Saccharomyces cerevisiae S288C: one gene and its partners. Changing the gene in region 3 together with the main gene of any one other region gives a genetic interaction. Each region holds a gene or a part of one and is shown on either strand. Other genes may lie near its edges. The genes, in order: ARO10, FAA2, MAS2 and RMD6.

Region 1 (5,493 bases), on a different chromosome or scaffold from region 3:
CCAGCTTAAAAATGTAAGATTGACAGATTAGCAGATAGTCAGATTGATTTGAGTTAACCCAGCCAATAAGAACAAACCCATTCTCAGTGGTAGCTGGTAATTCCAACCTTATAGGCCATGATTTGAAGTATTGAAAAAAATTGGTATGGTTGGCTTATGAAAACGATACTCTTTTTGTATTTTCTCTAGCGAAGTATTTCGGACTCTTTCTTCATCTCTAAAAAGAGAATTCTTGATCAAAAGCGTGTGCCATATCCTTCCTTACAAAGAATATTTCTCGTATCCACACGAGACGATGCGAGTAACTAAACAAATAGCTCTCATTTCACGTATTAACATACTCTTACAGCATCCTGCTTAATGTCCCTTGGCAAACCTTCGACGTTGACCTTGACCTCTCTAGTGGTGTCCAAGAGCTTGGCAACTCTAGCGACTGCGTTTGGAGGTGCCCTAGTATTTTTTCTGATAGGGCCTCTTCTGTTTGGAAGGCTCCTACGTTGGCTACCAACTTGCTTACCAACTCTTCTTGGACCGTTACCACGAGTACCACCGACACGGGCTCTATTACTTCCTGCTTTGTTAGAGCCAATGATTTCGTCTAAGGATTTATCTAAGTTAGCAGACATTTAGCAGATGTAGGTATTTTCTTAATATGGATTTCTTAAAGTTTCAAATAGAACGAGGGAGATTTTTTTATCTATTTGTCTTCGATAGTTTTCGGATAAAACTTCTTCTAACAAAAAAACCTACTACTAAACACACGATAGGAATGACAGAAAAAAGCGAACGGAAGAAGTGAAAAAGGATAAATTTGGCGGCCTTTTATAGTTCTTCAAGTGGTGAGCCGAAAGCCGTGGAAAAACAACACGTCTCCCCGCCCCTGCCTCGTCGCGAAAAAAAAAATACTAGCAACTGGACAAAGAACTCTGTGGTAGTGGTAAAATAGCTTTAATATACGTATTTACTTTGTAAATATAGTTACATAAGGGTTTTTTATGTGTTAATGAACAGAAAACGAACAATTGGTAGCAGTGTTTTATAATTGCGCCCACAAGTTTCTATTTTTTATTTCTTTTAAGTGCCGCTGCTTCAACCATGCACTTTAGCTGTTCGGGGAAATCCAATTCGCCTAATTTGACTTCTAAAAGTTCTATCCCGCTTCTTTTGTTTGAATTCTTAAGCTCCTCCAATTTCAGTGCTAATTTAGAGGGACATTGAATGAGAGTGCTATTAGTATACTTTCCGTCGAAGTCTCCGAATGCTTCAAATAGTTTGGTCCATTTCCAAGACATAACGTCGTTATACGACCTGGTAGGGCCCATGATGGCTCTTTCAATAGTGTAGCCGTTATTGTTCCAAATGATAACTTCTAGTGGAATATTGCACTTCAGAATGGTGCTCAGTTCTTGGATTGTCATCTGTGCTGCACCGTCACCTTCAAACAAAATTAATCTTGGCTTATAGTCCTCTTTTACGTTGCCACCATTGATGTGAGCGTTTGAGTGGTCTTGCATGGCAATTCCAACACCTAGGGCGGCAGGAAGGGCCATGCCAATGGAAAGGAAAAATCCTTGCGATATATATTTTAATTGCGAAGGAAACGCGAAATCACGAACAGAGAATTGAAAAGAGCCTGTTTCACAAACGACAACATCACCAGGGTTCAAAAATTTAGGCATCGTCTTTTGTAAGTGAACTTGTGTAATAATGCTTGATTGTCCATTGGTAGGATCTTCTAACCGCATTGTTTCGTTCGTATATTGAGTTACATTTGAATCATATTGCAAAGAAAGTTTAGAAACGTCAATGCGCTTGTATAGTTCTTTTAAAATAGGGGCAAAATTGATTCCTTTGAACATTTGCTCATTGCCCTGCCTAGTGTCCACAAGGCGAATATAATTCGGATGAAATTGAATGATTTTAGCATTTGGTTTATAAGTAAAAGTATAATGCCCATTATTAATTTCATTGATGTCGACTCCAAAATGCAAGACCAAGTCGCACAGTTCAAAATGTTCATAGACTTGTTTTAAACCTTCTTTACCATTATATTGACCCATATAAGTTGGGTTTGACTCATCAATTACAGATTTTCCCATAACAGTGGAAAAATTCCAAATCCCAGTTTTGCAGATAAGCTTGTTCAAAAAGTTACTCACACCATACCTATCAGTCAGTACGTCTCCAAGGATCGCAGGTGTTTTACTGGAATATATCCAACTAGTAATCTTGTTGATTATGTCAGACAATTGGTTTTCAGAAGGGTATACTATACAATCTTGTTGAGATATACGTGGAACATTAACCAAATTATCACATGTAACAGACATATCCGCAAAATCTGCAGGAACAAAAATATAACCAGGTTTAGAATACTTGTAAATATCGCGGATAACATTATCGACTTGGTCACATGCAGTTTCAATATCCTCCAAGTAGGCTACCGAGCAAGCGACTCTATCTTTTACCATATCATGATATACTTTATGATTTGGCCCTTTAAAATTTGAATCATGTAGCTGTGGGACCAAATGATGTAGGTTCCGATCACTAAAGTTACTTGAACGCGAATCTATGGACTTGGCCACACCAACAATGTGCAAAACTTTGACATTTTCAGCGAACGAACCGGCTATACCGTTCAAGGCGCTTAATTCACCAACGCCATACGTGGTTATTAAACAGCCAATCTTATTAGAGTAACGGGAATATCCGTCGGCCGCATAAGCGGCGTTCAGTTCATTACACGTGCCGACCCATCTTAGGCCAGCTGATTCAACACTAGGTGAATAGAGATATTCTAATAGAGATAAGTTGAAGTCACCAGGAACACCGAAAACTGATTTCGTATCGATGGACAACAATCTTTTAAATATGTATTCACCAAACGGAATTGTTGCTGATCGGTTGGAAACAAGGTGTCGTTCTTCTTGATTTACGAACTTTTCAATTGTAACAGGTGCCATGCTTAAGGGAGTTTCTTTGTTATCTTGTAAATAAACTTTACAGAAGTCGCGTCAACTTGTTTTGAGTATCAAGTTGAGAGGGTTGATCAGTTAAATATGTTTTATATCAGATTTTATGTAGTATTAATAAACGCAGAAAAAAAATGAAAGTGAGCTGCCGCTGTAGTGACGATGCAAACTAGCCCAGTTTATATCTTAAACTTTACTCAACACAATAAATAAGATGCCACTAACCTATTACATACCGACACTTACCGAAGGTATCAAAGCTCCGCCGCACAAAAGTACGACAAATGCTCAGCATGACCTCGGCAATTTTCGGTAAATGACGGCTATCCGCGGTTATCCCTCCCGGTAGGTAACCGACACTTTGGAGAGGATTCGCAAAGGCTCAAAGTAATATATGACGGCTTTTTCAAAAAATAGCCTAAGCCTACTACCAAATGTTAATAAGGAAGCTACATGAGGTGTACAAGCATCGAATTTTGGATTATCTTTTTCGCTAAGACGTTGTTGTACGCTTTCAATCCTGCTTTTTTAAATTTCGGTGGACGAACCAATCTAAAATGTAGTAAAACTGGTAGATGTTAATTAATTAACCTTGCAAAGCCGAAGAAAAAAAGGGGTTCGCCAAATTATTCTTAACAAAGATAATGTAGCTTAAACACACAAGAAGAAGAGGAGACGCAATACCAAGAGCATGCCTAAGAGATTAAGTGGGTTACAAAAAGAAGTCTTACACCTGTATAGGGCTTCCATACGAACGGCTCATACAAAACCAAAGGAAAACCAAGTTAATTTTGTGAATTATATTCATGAAGAATTTGGGAAGTATAGAAATTTGCCAAGAAAAGACTTCACCACCATTGAACACTTGTTACGGGTCGGAAACAAAAAAATTGCCACCTTTTCACACCCTGAACTGACGAATATACATTGAACTATTTTCTTACTTTATTCTTTTTTCATATGATTTCTTATTTAATCTATCCTATGTTTATTTAACTTTTGCAAATCTGTATTATGCTTGCTTAAATATGTCTCTATAGTTTCCAAGTATAAATTCCACGATATAATTCCTCTCCTTCATGTCCACAATATCTTTCTCGCCGTCAAAATCGTGGATAAGACTCGGTGCAAAGACCAACGACAAGTTATGTAAGTTCATTAAATTTCTTTCACTGCACCTTCGAACTTTGCCGATATGTGCTGCCAATACTTTCAATACTTCCTGATGCTCTACGGGTAAAATTTTGAAAATTTCAAGTAGGCTTTTGAGCACCATTTCATAAATAGTCACTTTTTGTGGTGAATCCAAAAACTTGTCGTTGTTTAATGGTAGCCTCTCAATTAGTTGGTTATTTCTAACTAGATCTATCAAGGCATCGTATATGGAAAATGATAAAACTGGATCTGGTAGTTTTCTCAAATATCGTTTTAATACGCTAGCCACTGCATGAATATCTTGATTCAGTAAAGCATTCAGTTTGGGACTTAATGTATCACTATGCAACGAATTATTCTGAGCGAATTCATTTTCGATCTCCTCAACCAAAGTCTGTGAGCCCGACTTTCTGTATAAGCCTTCCATGTTCAGGCCTATATCATCTTTTTCAATGCGATCAATGCAGCACCTGATAATTATTGGAACAGTACTTTTTTCATACGCACATCGAGCTTGTAGCGAAGATCCATATAAATGGGAACCATCAGGCGTATAATCTAATCTCTTTGGACTTGGCGACAGTGGTACTTTGCCTGGAGAAGGAAGCTCATCGTGTACTCGAATTAATTTCGGTGATGATATTTCTTTCTGTGCTATATTTGTCGTTCCGCCTGAAGATGAATTTGGCGAACGTTGCTGTGATTCTAGATCGCCTACCTGGTGATCCTTAGCACTTGAAAATATTTTCCAGAAGCGTGGTTTAGGACTGGCATTAGATATGCTCCCTTTTCTGTCGGAATTTGAACTTGGTGACTTTACAGTGATTGATGTTGCAATGTTTTCTTTTTGTTCTAAGGACTCCCGGGAAGATGCAGATTGCTTATCCTTTTCTCTTGTTAAATTGTCAACATCATTTAACAGCCTCTCTTTCGCTAATCTTAGATTTTCAACATCTTGTAATAATTTTTTCTTCGTACCTTCTAGTTCCCTCACATCTAATTTTAACTTCCTTAAAGTCAACTCAGTAAAGTAAAAGTCCTTTTCCAAGCTTGTAGCGCTTTCATCAGTAGCATCCACTTTCGTGGAATCGTCTTCCAACAATGCATTAGTGGATCTAGACGTCTGTAAGCTAGAAGATCTGTGGTGTGCGGACTCAGATGACAGAGATGGCCTCTTAAATAATGGCCCTGATTCCAAAGGCGGCGTACGGAACATTGCTATATGATGCCCCGAGCTTGAACTTGTAAATGAACCATTTATGCGTCTATTAGTGGCTGTATCATTAGAATTTTGCTTTTTGGATATACTGCCAAGGCTGCTTTGCGCTTTTTTGTGATTAAACTCCGGTACTGTAAAATTTCC
Region 2 (5,243 bases), on a different chromosome or scaffold from region 3:
TCATTCAGGTTTCCGGAACACCTACTCTAGTTGACCTATAGAAGATACAAGGCGTCTCTTTCAGGTAAGAAGATGCCTCTCAGATGTCTTTGACTTTTCTTTATTGTTCTAGGCAAAGTGTTCTTTATACCTGTATGTATGCATCAGCAGATTGACCGGTAACATGAAAGTCTGAAAAAATCCCTGTAATGTTGTTGTCAACACATGAAAAGTTCCGTATCTTCTTTATTGGAAATCGTTAGAAGCCCTGGTTTTGCTCCTAATGGCGATTTAGCATATGCTAATTAAATCTTAAGCAAAGAGTTGTTGAACGAACCCAGACGAAATCTGTTTCTGGTTGCGTGATTTTTCTTTAGGTAGAAACACTGGAATAATTCAAGCGGGTTTCCCAGGATATCTTATTTTCAAATGATCTTTTCTTTTCTGTGGGTGAGACTACATTTTTCAAAGAGAGCATGTCCATAGTGGCAACAAGTGTGAATACGGGAAGTGAAGAGGGATAATTTTTGAATGAGTAGAGCTTCAGTCAGTCGCTCATGCAGTTTTAGCGGAGACAGAAATTCTATCTACATGGATTTCTCTGATCAGCGATATGGGGTACGCCTTCATTATTTTCTTTTAGCTAAGTCTATCATATATAAGCAACTATTCAATGGTCAAATTAACTTCAATCTCTGTCGCCGCATCCCCGATTACTATCACTTTATCTCCGTCAGATGAGAAAGGTTTACCTTTGCTGAGTTAGGTGATTACGCCCCGATATCAGGGCTCACTACATGGAAAACACTGCACCTCCATCTGAAACAGACCTCAGTTGAAGTTGTGGGAGCCGTTTTCAATCATCTTGACCCGTAGTGCACCAAGTCAAGTTACGAGAATGGTAACTGTGACCCATGTACTCCGCTAGATTGACCAGCTATATCTAGCGCTTTATGAAAGTGCAGTATCTACACTGTGGTTCCAACATAGAGAGCATTGCTTTCACTAATTGATCCTCATATATTATAGAAAGCCGCGAAAAAAAGCTTAAGAAGAATATTTAATGGTATAAATAGTTGGAATTATGTATGTCTTTAATCTTATAGTTCTTTAACAAAGTACAATAGTCTTGTGTGCTGTAGTAACGAAAGCAGGTTTATAACTACTGTTAGTCCATTATACACAGTGAGCGTTCACTATGTATACCGTATGGATGTGCATAGGGATATCCTACATCAAAGTTTTTTCTAGTTTGAATGTGTTCCAAATCGTCATAAGTACCTAAAGCTTTTCTGTCTTGACTAGTGAACCTTCGGCGTATAGTTGGTCTAATGTATCTTTGAAGAATTTTGATGCTTTGGCACGCTTTATTTTAAAAGTTGGCGTCACAACATCATCCTCGAGAGTTAAAGGCTCAAGTCCGACTTTGATGTTATGCAATTTTTCGAATCCTTGTAGCCCATCGGTGCATTTATTAATTTTGTTTAAAAATTCCTTCCTTAGCTTTTTATTACGATTTAAGTTTTCTACTAGCACTTCCTTAGTCCACGTTTTCACCTCTGGGTGCTTTGCAGCTAAAATCGGTTGCGCTGCATCAACATCAACACCAACGATGCCAACTAAAAATGTCTTTAAAGGATCTCCAAAGACAAATATTTGCGTGATATAGGGGCATGATGATAAATAAATATTTTCGATTTTCTCTGGAGCAATATATTCACCATGTGCTAGCTTGAAAAAGTTCTTGACTCGATCAATGACGCTGATGCGACCTTTTCCATCGATAAATGCAACATCTCCCGTGGAAAACCAACCATCTTGGTCAACGGCTTTTGAAGTTTCATTCGGATTTTTAAAATATCTTTCAAAAACCTGTGGGCCACGAATTTGCAGTTCACCTTTTAAATCCTTGTCGGCATGGTAACCCATTTCTGGAACAGACTTCAATCTACATTCTGCAGAAATACCTATGGCACCACAAGATCCGACATCTTTTTCAAACGGTTCGCTTAAACAGACACCAGCAAAAGTTTCAGTTAAGCCGTAGCCCTGTCTTATACCAATATCCAAGGCACTTCTTAAAAATAGTAAGGTATCTTTAGATATGGGAGCTGATCCGGTAATTATAAACGAGTTATTGGACAAACCTAAAGAGTCTCTGATTTTATCAATCAATACGCGATGATAAACTAGAAAATTCATAATCGATTTATCTGGACCACCTCTTGCGGTAAATCTGGCCGATTTAGAATCCAATATAGTATTTGCTACGTTCCTCTGGACAGTCGATTTATCCAAAGCGTTTTTTATACCGGCTTCAAACCGTGTTAATATTCTAGGAACCAGGGCAACCGCGTAAGGTTTCAAAATCTTCAAATCCTCTACCAATACAGTTGGGTCTGGTTTATGTAAGAAGCCTATTCCAAACCCGATGGCTAGATCATACGCAATAACCATTCTTTCAAAAATATGAGCCAATGGCAAAAAACACATATCATATAACTGTTGGTTTCTTTTATCTGGCGGTATTCTGAAGGTAGAAAAAGCAAATGCTATCCCAGACGCAATGTTTCTGTGAGACATTTCCACACCTTTAGGTAAACCTGTAGTACCAGAAGTAAACGAAATAGTATACAAGGAATCTGGGGTAGGTGGAATTGCAGGAATTTTGTTAAAGCAACCAACTTGTTCTACCTGCTCCAATGAAAAAAATGTGATTTTTTCATTGAGAGAGTTGCACTTAACGGGTAGCAACGATTCATTTAGCATACGGAGCTCGTCATGAGTTAATTCATCCATACAAACCAAAGTATTAACAAATTTCATATCAGGCACCATCTTCAATACATGATACATATTTGATTTTGCAAAAATCAGAATGGGGGCCTCGGTTAAATTCAATATGTACTCGGAGGTGTTTGGACCTAATGTTTCGTACAAAGCCGTGTTAGTTAGAGAATAGGCCTGACAGGCCAAATCTGTTAGGATCCATTCAGGGTTGTTGTGTGATAAGATAGCAACAACAAAATCATTGGCTTCCAAAGGACGTTTCCTTTTCGTGTTTACCAAAGACAATATACCACTTCCGATATTATGACATCTTTTAGATACCGTGGAGTACGACTCGAAACGGAATGTTTCCTCCCAGGTGCCTGTGGCTTTATCAATTGGCCTTGAACCTAAACAGTCACGTTGAGGCCATCTCCTTGCAGAAAACATGAAGTGATCGTATGCAGTTCTTAAGTTTTTATCCACACAGCTCACTAGATTTTCAGAAGAAAGAGAACTCCTATAAATCGAGCTAAAACCAGCTTCATTATCCGGATTCGAAATGGCAACCGCCTGTTTCTTTAAAAATGTTTTGTACCTGGGATAGCTGGTCAGTGGTAATTGAGAGTATAGCTCTTCAATATATTCATCAGAGCCTTTGGTGTAACCGGCTAATCTTGTCTTCAAACTTTCGAAACGAGGATCCGATTCAATTAAATCGGTAAGTGCATAATCTGGAGCGGCCATATTTCGAAACAAGTTTGTTCTTATCCGTTTTTTGTAACCTGCATTCTTCCACTTCCCTTAGCCATGCGTTTCCGATGCTTTATATAGTTCCAACCCATCATCGCTCAACTCCGCAATTAATATTGAGTTCCCTCGTTTTGACTCCAACCCATCATCGGCGGCTCGGCGTTAAAGACTGACGGTCCGGAGGATGTTCTGAAAAATTTGGTTAATATAAATAAATTGTGTCTTTTGATACTAACTACTTTTTCTTATTAGCTGATAACTGCCTCAATTGTCAAAAGAAGTAGTTTGCGTAAAGCTAACCATATATATACGTACTTATTTGCTTAGCTGTAAGGCGTCGTTAAAGCCGTCTACAATAACGTCAGGGACACCGGGACTTCTAGAAAATCCCATTCCCCCCACAGAAACTGTTTGGCCGTAAGATTCTTGCAACTTCCTTTCAGCTCTTTCTTGCCATGCGTCATAACCTACATGAAATCTTGGCAGACATCTATCGGCGATAGTGAATTCCCACTGACCAGCTTCCAGATCCTTGTTACTGATGCCGAGGTGGTTGTTCAGCGCATCTTTGACTGCATTAATGGTTACCTCCCTGGATGGCACTACAGGAACACCGTGTTCATTGAGCATACAACCTCCTATCATCGCAGTCACTTTTGTATATTTGTTGAGGGCGTTTGGGTTTGTGGAGAGTTTGTCAAAAAGTGGTTTGAAATTCCTTTCGATAACAGAATCGAAAATTACACCAAGCAATTTCCCTGGATTCTTATTGGATTTGGGAACCAAGTATCCAAAGCCTTGTAGATCGGCATCTATTACATCTTTGTTTGGCAAATAATAATTAACTAAAATTATTGTGTTTGATTGTATCTCATCTAATAACTTGGATAATGAATTTTGATCCTTCGGTAGCAATTTAGCGATTTTGGGAGGTGTTATCGTAAGTCTTAAATGGTCAAATGTTTCGTATTGGTCGCCAGATTTCGCTTTCAATCCGATTGTCGTTTCGTTAGCAGGGCGTTTCATTATTTGCGTAACCGGGTTCCCAGTAACTATTTTGACGTTTTTAAATTCGTTCAAAGCATTTCTGACTATCTTGGGAAACGTTTCTAGTCCCCCAGCAAGACCCAACATGGGATATTTCTTTAGCGTGTTGGATAAGTCTAATAACTTTGACCTGTCTTTTCCAAACGCATTTGAGTAGTCGTTAAGGCAGCCAGTTAAAGATTGGTGCAGGTTCTCAGTTTTTTTACTTCTTGACTTTCCGCGCATATTATCAATCATAGCTTGTGTGTTAGATCCGTGCTTTAGTTCATTGTAGTATATTTTCTTAAACGTTCTCTTGGCACTTAATAGGGAAACGTCATCCCCATAGATACCTCTTAGTAAGGCACTGATCATATTGTTTGATATGTAGTTATTCCCAAACCTTCTGTCACAAATGGATTCGACACTTTCGTCTTGGCCAGGATGTGGAGATTTTTTTCTGAACCATTCTCCCATCATACCCGTGATGAGTCCTTTTCCCAACGGATTCAGCAGAAATTTTACTGTTGTAGATATCGAATTAGGAACCTGCACGAGTTTATCACTGGGGTCTAGTAGAAACTTTTTGTCTGCAATGCAACCTTTATCAATGCTTTGAATAACTGCTTCCTTGCCCAAGTCTTTAAGGGTATCCATAATCAGAACGGTCCCGTCTGATACGCCCCTCAATGTTCTGGGTCCCTTCTCCAACATAA
Region 3 (4,688 bases):
GCAAGGGAATGAACTGCGGCTAAGAGAACATATTCATGCACTAAAACAAGCTGAAGAGGACGTAAAGAATATGGCGTCTATCATTGAAAAATTGAAAACTCAAAATAAGCAAAAGGAAAAGTTAATCTGGGAGCGCGAAATGGAAAGAAATGACTCAGATATGCAATTACAGGAAACTCTGCTGGAGTTGAAGAGAGTCCAAGATGTAAAGAAAATCCTGAGTGATGATTTGGCCCATTTAAAGGAGCGATTGAGCGCTGTAGAAGATAGATCCCAATATACGGATGAGATTAATAGATTAAAGGAAGAATTGAACTGCTCTTTAAAAGCTGAAACAAACTTAAAAAAAGAATTTGCAACCCTTAAGTACAAACTGGAAACTTCGACTAATGATTCTGAAGCAAAAATCTCCGATCTGCTGAAGCAGCTCGATCATTATACAAAAGTGGTGGAAATGTTGAACAACGAAAAAGATGCTATTTCTCTTGCAGAAAAAGAACTTTATCAGAAATACGAGGCACTCAATACTGAATGCGAGTCTCTTAAAGGAAAGATAGTGTCTTTGACTAAAATCAAGCAGGAACTGGAATCTGACTTAAATCAAAAGACTGATGCGCTACAGATATCAAACGCAGCACTCTCAAGTTCCACACAAAAGAATAAAGAGATTACTGAAAAAATCAAATATCTGGAGGAAACACTACAACTGCAAATGGAACAAAATTCAAGGAATGGGGAGTTGGTTAAGACATTACAGGCCAGCTGCAATGGATATAAAGATAAGTTTGATGATGAGAAGCAGAAGAATATTGATTTATATGAAGAAAATCAAACTTTACAAAAGCTCAACACCGACTTACAGCTTCAACTAAAAAATTTGCATGAAAGATTATCAGACACTACTGAAAAAAACGCATGGTTATCAAAGATTCATGAATTGGAAAATATGGTAAGCCTAGAAACGGACTTGAAATATGAAGAAATGAAAAAGAACAAGAGTTTGGAGAGAGCAGTGGAAGAGTTACAAACTAAGAACTCCCAACAAACAGATGTAATAGAACTAGCGAATAAAAATAGAAGCGAATTTGAGGAAGCTACTTTGAAATATGAGGCTCAAATCTCTGACTTAGAAAAGTACATTTCTCAACAAGAGCTTGAGATGAAAAAATCCATTAGAGATAATTCTTCTTACCGCGACAAAGTGCAGGAAATGGCCCAAGAAATTGAATTCTGGAAAAGCCGTTATGAATCTACCATGATAGGCTCGAAAAATATTGATAGTAACAATGCACAGAGTAAAATTTTCAGTTAACGAACTTTTTTTTAAAAATTTGGAAGACTTTATATCCTTTATTTAAAAAAATAATGATGAGATGTTTTGTATATACAGAATGAGAATATGCATTATTAACAGAAAAAGACGACACGAGCGTTATATACTAAGTGGCATGAACTCTTTCACCCCGTATCCTTCGATAGTAGTCTTAAAGGTGGTACATAAAATAAAGAAAATAACCGATTCAATAGATAAGCAGCGGAAATAAAGTCTTTTTCCTATCTTGAAATCTCCAAAATAAAAGTAATAAAGTACTGCTAAAGTTGTTCAAAACCAACCCTTCTTCTTGGGACTATCGTTTTTGGAGGAGGAGCTGTTACCCAATCCATATGCCTTCAGTACATTTTCCACATCTCCAAAGGATCCTCTGTCTCCTTGCATTACAACAGTAGCTCTACCCTTACCATTGCCAGCATTATTTACATTTCCCGTAAATATCATTTCGGCAACACGTGAGATATCATCTGGCTTCAAATCTTCGATCTTACTTATCATTTCGTTGACTGGGATTTTGCGACCATGCATGAGAACTTGTCTGCCCATATCTTCCAATTCTACCAGTTTAGACTCTAGGTTCATTAGTAGTGAAGACTTCAACTGATTCTTGGCCCTGGAGACTTCGTCTTCAGTTAACCTCAAATCCTTATTAGCAAATGTATTATACATTTGCTGTGCAATTACCTCAACCGCTTGAGGAGCTGCCTGCGGTATACAAGATAATGAAATACCGAAAATACCAGAATCCGAATAAGAATGGTTGAACGCAACACAATTTTCAACAAAGTAATACTGGTTCAAAACGTGGGTATACAAACGAGAATACATCCCCTTTCCTGGCCCACCAGCACTGAAAGAACCACCACCTCCAAGTAAAGTTTGTAATGTTGCTAAAGCATAAATGTCTGGATGATCTATAGGGAGACCTTCAAATCCGATCTGGATGTGGAATAATTCTGGTAAATTCCCAAACACTGGTGCTGGTGGAATACAACTTTCCCCGCCCGTATATTGGGCAACTTTTTTGGTGATCGGAGGGTGTGTAGATTGCCAGTCACCGAGATACTTTTCTGTAAGCTCTAATGCCTTTTCGTGAGGAACACCAACAAATGCCGCAACAGTATTTTCTGGGGTGTAGAATTTATTTCTGTAGTCCAATAAGTAGTATTTAGAAATAGAAGGAATGAGCTCTCTAGGGCAGATTAAAGGGGACCCCAAAGTTTCTCCGGAGTATGCTGCTGTGTGCAACAGCTCAGGTAATACCAATTCTGGCTTCATCCAAACTTCATCGATTTCATACTCTGCCGACAGCTTCTGTTCTTGCAGTTCTTGCTCAGTAATCTTAGGGAACCTCACAGTTTCTGACATTAATTGAAGCATTTTACCCACATCCTGGTTGAACACAGAAGCCTGATACATCAAATTTTCTCTAGACGAGGTACACTGGTAATTCCCACCCAGTAACTCCAACGTCTCTGCCATTGCTCGGCCCTCGACGTGTTCGGTTGATTTGAATGCTAGTCTATCCAAGATATGTGTACAACCCTTCAAATTCCTACCTTCAAACCGTGATCCTGCGTCGATGTATAGGCCTAAGGCACTAAAGTGTCCAGGAGTATTTGATGTCGCCACTTTCAGTCCATTCGCTAGTGACGAAAGCTTAAAATTATCGGTTCTAGCGATGTTAGAGTACAACCTCTGAACGCCGTTCCTTAGCATCTTTTGTTATTAATCAGCTCTCTGCTTTGCATTAATTTGACCACCTGCCCTGAAACACCTTTCTTCTAGTCCACCTGTGTAGGCTTTTTCACCTGAATTGTTCATTCTCGATACGCCCTCACGCCGGATGAAAAATTTGTGCAAGAGTCATCATCTCGAAAAGATATGGTGATAAAAACAAGTGTACTTCTAACCTGCCTAATGGTTATAACAGTAGCATAAAGTAGATATACGGACTACAGAAAATGGTTCGTGCCTTCAAAATTAAAGTTCCAGCTTCTTCCGCCAATATCGGCCCTGGTTATGATGTTCTTGGTGTCGGTCTTTCTCTATTCTTGGAGTTAGATGTCACCATCGACTCCAGCCAAGCTCAGGAAACAAACGACGATCCCAACAACTGCAAGCTGTCTTACACTAAAGAAAGTGAAGGCTATTCTACGGTCCCATTGCGTTCTGATGCTAACCTGATTACCAGGACTGCGTTATATGTGTTGCGTTGCAACAATATTAGAAACTTCCCCTCCGGAACCAAAGTTCACGTCTCCAACCCAATCCCACTTGGCCGTGGATTGGGTTCCTCTGGTGCAGCAGTTGTGGCAGGTGTTATTTTAGGTAACGAAGTGGCCCAATTGGGTTTCTCTAAGCAACGTATGTTGGACTACTGTTTGATGATTGAACGTCATCCAGACAACATAACCGCTGCTATGATGGGAGGCTTTTGCGGTTCATTCCTAAGGGACTTGACCCCACAAGAGGTGGAAAGACGTGAGATTCCATTGGCTGAGGTGCTTCCAGAACCTTCTGGTGGTGAAGATACCGGTCTGGTTCCCCCATTACCTCCCACCGATATCGGTAGACATGTCAAATACCAATGGAACCCCGCCATTAAATGTATTGCGATCATCCCACAGTTCGAGTTGTCCACCGCCGACTCCAGAGGCGTTCTTCCAAAAGCCTACCCAACCCAGGACTTGGTTTTCAATCTACAAAGATTGGCCGTCTTGACCACAGCTTTGACCATGGACCCACCTAATGCCGACTTAATCTACCCTGCTATGCAAGATCGTGTCCACCAACCTTATAGAAAGACATTGATCCCAGGTCTCACGGAAATCTTATCATGTGTCACCCCATCCACATACCCTGGCCTATTGGGTATCTGCTTGTCAGGTGCAGGCCCAACTATCTTGGCTTTGGCCACTGAGAATTTCGAAGAAATCTCTCAAGAAATTATCAACAGGTTCGCCAAAAACGGCATCAAGTGCTCCTGGAAACTACTGGAGCCTGCCTACGATGGTGCTAGCGTCGAACAGCAATGAAATGTCCTTTACCCCTAGTATACTGTGTTAAATACTATTGTAGACCATATACATACTGTAATTGACCGTTAACGGTTATTATGCTGAGTCTTCTTCCGTTACCCGTCTTTTCTATCTATTTCGAAAATAAAAAATAAGTGAAAAGAACGAAATTTCACAACCATTAACAATACAGATAATGAATCGAAGTTGTTTTCAGTCTCAATTCAAAAGACTCATAGCCAAGGCCAGTTGATTGATTTAGCCACAAGTATCATTCAACGTAATATCCACAGGTGTTTTTTTTCTCACCGGAAGGCGAATAAAATACAGGAGCT
Region 4 (4,032 bases), on a different chromosome or scaffold from region 3:
AGTGGATATAAGGAAAAGTCGTTACGTTCTGTGCTGACAGAAAAATAGTATTTTTAATTACTGAACTGATAGATTCGATTCAACACTTATGATGCTAAAAAGGTCATGAACGAAGTTTGATAGCATTCTATTACTGATTTTCAAATGCTCATTTTGCCGCGAATATTATAGGCCAATAGATTTAAGGTTAAAAAAAAATCATATCAATGGCATTTTAAGGCAACTATATTTTCAGCATTATATTTTACTTTTCCTTTATTTTTTATAAAGTGTCCAGATGGCACCTATTATACAAGCGCAAAATGACATTTGAAAATGTGTGTTAAAATCGCAATTGATCAACTTTAAGGATGATAGAATAAATTGCGTAATTCGTGAACTATAGAAAAGCTTTTTTATTTTGATTTTAGTGAAGGTAAGAAAACATCGATGCTTTATTTCTCTAAGCGCTCTCCAAACTAAGGGGGTTGTAGGAGAATAATAACGTATAGATGAATCACGCTTGATTTGATGGACAATCCCAAAACCATTTGAGATAACTGTAAAGGTTTATATCATAAAACTTTTATAGATGCTACTGCTATAAGTAGTGCAATTTGAATGTTTTTTTTTTTTTTTTTGATGTTACTATGCCGCCAATTATATAATAAATGCAGGAAAATCAACTATATAAATATTGCTAACATGACTTTTATTCGAAAAAAATAAATAAATATAGTGTTTATATTTAGGATTCCTATTCTGTATCCATCTGGAACCTTCAACATTGTAAATAGTGAATATTTATACGCACTTTTTTTTTGGTAGTAAGCACGGTTAGTTATAATTGCAGGAAAACAAGGAACCCACTTCTTTTTACTGTTTATATCAATATGTTGCTCAGCAGAACCTACAGTTTATTCAAATAGAGTGTGTACGGGACTATACCACTACAATCTATGATTTCCCAACTCTTTAATCATTTTGATCACATGAAAGTCTTTGGTAAAGTCAACTTTATCGTCAAATACCTTTACTTGGTGCTGTTCTTTGAGAACTTTGAACCTTTGCACCTCTACAAAGCCAAGCTTCTTTTCATAGTAACCCAATAGGTCATGCTCCATGATAATATCTGCAACCACTCTTTTACACTTATGAGACCGCATCATATGAATTACACTGTAATTGAATAGTTTTATACCATAACCATTACCCATGGATGTAAAACCTGTGATCTCATAACTCTCCTTATTATTTGGTTTGTAGCCGATGGTTGCTAGGGTATGTTCTGAATCGAATGCCTCTGTCAAAAACTGGACCTTCGGAATATAATATGTCGGTAGAGATAAATCTTTGTTTGTTTCACCTTTAAGCTGTTCAAAATGTTCATGGAAATTAGGGTATGCTAAGGTAGGATCATTTAATAATAAGTAAAGCGAGGATTTCTCTATATTCTTGTCAAAGCCCAGATCACTGAATAAAGTCTCAAGGCTGTGCACTCGAGGGCTAACTATGATGCCATATTTGAGTCTTGGGACATCATATCCTCGATTAATTGTTGTATACAAGCTATACTTAGTATCTTTAGATGAATTCTTCAAAATCTCGACTGGGAGTATAACGATGTTGCAAGGGCAAGCTGACATTAGTTTTGTTGTGCAAAGGGCATGATAGACTCTCGATATCTTCAAATAAGTCTTTCTCAATAATTTATGTAGAACCTTACGTTTTCAATCACGACCAAGAGTAAGGTGTATTATATCCATACTGTTTTGTGCATATATTCTTTTTTTGATTTCTTATCTGAAGGAAAAACAAGATCTTCAAAAGTAAAGTTATTGATCCCATATTGGTAACCAGATAAAAGAAAAAGGCAATATCACGTGCTTTTACAAATATTATTTCCAATTGGATTTCTGAGAGGTATGGGTGTCATTTCCTTAACGTTATTATAAACTAGCCAGAATGAATGTACAAGCGGGAGAGTAGCGTCGTGTGATACTATAAAACTCTGAGTGAGGGTACCGTCAAGATTCAACCATAGTGTGCAAGAAGTGTTCATCTTCACCACAGGGGTCATTTGAGCATACAATCCTCCAATGTCGGTAACAGACGCAGTTGCGGTTAAAGTCGTAGATGATTGCCCTATGCGCTAACAAGATATTCTTCAATAGGAGCATCTAAATTATTCTCTCTGAAAAACGAACAATAATCAACACTGGAATTGTAACCATTTTTACCCGGATGGGCGATCATTTCATTATTAACTAAAGTAGCTTTTCCAATACGCCTTGACTTTGTGGGGCAAAGATATTATGCTTTTATCATGCGAGAGATCTTAGGTGCCGCAAAAAAAGATTTTGCTGGCGTGCGCATATAAGACTGTTTTTCGTCCCTGCATTGAGATCGCATCTGTCCCTGAGTAAACGATGCACAGAATATTCAGGCTGTGATTCTACTAACTGAACATTGAGTTAGCACTTATATATTATAGGCGTAAACTATCTCACCAAACTTGCTACAATCTTCTAGAATTGATATTGTATTCAACTTTTTTAATGTATCCAACTGAATGTACTTGATAACCTTCGTTGCATTGACGGCTAGATTCTTTAACCTAGCTGCCGCCTCGGCCAATAATAGTTCCTTCCCTGATATTGACCTTACTAGTTTTTTGAGACACTTCACCAATATTCCAGCAGGACTTTAGTCAGGACCGCTCCAGCCCATATATCGCGCGCCTCCGGCAGAGAGTTAATTAGTGTGTACGATCTTAGTTCCAATGGTGAAAATAGCCCTCAAAACCTTTGCTTTCTCTCACCTAGCTTCGGAGGTCAGTATATTATATGTAAAAAATGCTAAATATACCTGCACTTGAATATGGTAAAAGTGGCGTTACGGATAATGCATTACTCAAGGGAAGTATACAATGCTAACCCCAAATATCAGACTTCATAACAGATTCAACTTTTCAGGAACCAAGAATGATAATTGACGTACTTTGCCTATTATTAAATTTTAATAGTGTCTAAATTTCACTAAAAGATTCATAAATGATCAATTGCAGTTTCCTCCGTAAGAACAAACGGATAACAGACTATGGTGAATAAGGAGCACAAGAGTTTTAAAGGTAGTGCCTCACACGCGCTGAATGTAAGCAAGGTCAATATAGCTGCTGACCTGAAAATGAGATAGCAAATGTAACATTGAATTTATCAACTAAGAGACAGTATAACATAAGTGAAATCAAGATACCCGGCCTCAAATCAAATAAAAGTACAATCCCCTCTTGATTAAAGAACAAGTATAATATTGCTTGATAGTGTATGGTTTAAAATTTTCTATCTTTCTACCGAACACCTTCTGGACCATTGTTGTTCCTTATTAAGAATTCTCAAGTTACAGTATTAAAAAGGCAATATATATTTAGTTCTAAAATGCGCTACTAAGTGCTGGGTAGTCTGATTATGGGATCACTTTATTCATATAGTATACAATATTCAGAGAGGCATTGACTTAGCTACCAAAAAAGTATTGAATCGTTTAATGGCTATGAGAATACTTTTAGAAATGGCATTTTCCTGTTCTGGTGCATGATGCTGGAATAATGATGCTAAGTTTCTTCTAAATGACTGTGACTAGGCGATTACCAAATAATATAATACAATTCCTTCCCTGCTCGTGAAGAGAGAAATTCTATGCCACACTAAATGCATCGCGATAGACATCCAAGATGAAGTCAACCTAGGACTTGGCCCCCCAAATTACGGAAATCGAATCAAATGCAGGCTCTATCTTTTATTACAACTGAAGAATATGGTTTTTGAGGATGTATAATGAATTCGAAATAGTATGATATGAGTCTGAATGAGTATTATCAGTAAATGATGAAGATGTATTTTACTGAATGCTTCTTGGCAGTTCCGGTTAACAAAAAAAACTTAGTATGCAAAGTTCGTTGCTATAAAAGCTTAAATCAAGATCCAATTTGACAGGATTCTAGTACGTGAATACACACAGAATTTGCAGTTTTGTTTTCGGACAACTGAGTAA

What was found.
Region 1: mutations in MAS2 (region 3) and ARO10 together harm fitness more than expected from each alone (negative genetic interaction), as found in Saccharomyces cerevisiae (one large-scale study listed by BioGRID).
Region 2: mutations in MAS2 (region 3) and FAA2 together harm fitness more than expected from each alone (negative genetic interaction), as found in Saccharomyces cerevisiae (one large-scale study listed by BioGRID).
Region 4: mutations in MAS2 (region 3) and RMD6 together harm fitness more than expected from each alone (negative genetic interaction), as found in Saccharomyces cerevisiae (one large-scale study listed by BioGRID).

Annotation. Positions count from the first base shown.
Region 1 is NC_001136.10:1,231,691-1,237,183, reverse strand, and holds ARO10 (phenylpyruvate decarboxylase ARO10), read right to left. Parts: upstream 2,967-5,493; coding exon 1,059-2,966; downstream 1-1,058. Other genes in the region: RNA-binding protein YRA1, read right to left, coding at 342-626; SDH6 (Sdh6p), read left to right, coding at 3,667-3,906; GTPase-activating protein RGA2, read right to left, coding at 3,988-5,493. UniProt on the Saccharomyces cerevisiae protein: One of five 2-oxo acid decarboxylases (PDC1, PDC5, PDC6, ARO10, and THI3) involved in amino acid catabolism.
Region 2 is NC_001137.3:182,793-188,035, reverse strand, and holds FAA2 (medium-chain fatty acid-CoA ligase FAA2), read right to left. Parts: upstream 3,496-5,243; coding exon 1,261-3,495; downstream 1-1,260. Other genes in the region: BUD25 (Bud25p), read left to right, coding at 3,336-3,358, 3,867-4,305; HEM14 (oxygen-dependent protoporphyrinogen oxidase), read right to left, coding at 3,817-5,243.
Region 3 is NC_001140.6:156,141-160,828, forward strand, and holds MAS2 (mitochondrial-processing protease subunit alpha), read right to left. Parts: upstream 3,053-4,688; coding exon 1,604-3,052; downstream 1-1,603. Other genes in the region: MYO1 (myosin 1), read left to right, coding at 1-1,312; THR1 (homoserine kinase), read left to right, coding at 3,298-4,371.
Region 4 is NC_001137.3:11,313-15,344, reverse strand, and holds RMD6 (Rmd6p), read right to left. Parts: upstream 1,626-4,032; coding exon 930-1,625; downstream 1-929. UniProt on the Saccharomyces cerevisiae protein: Required for sporulation. Required for meiotic nuclear division.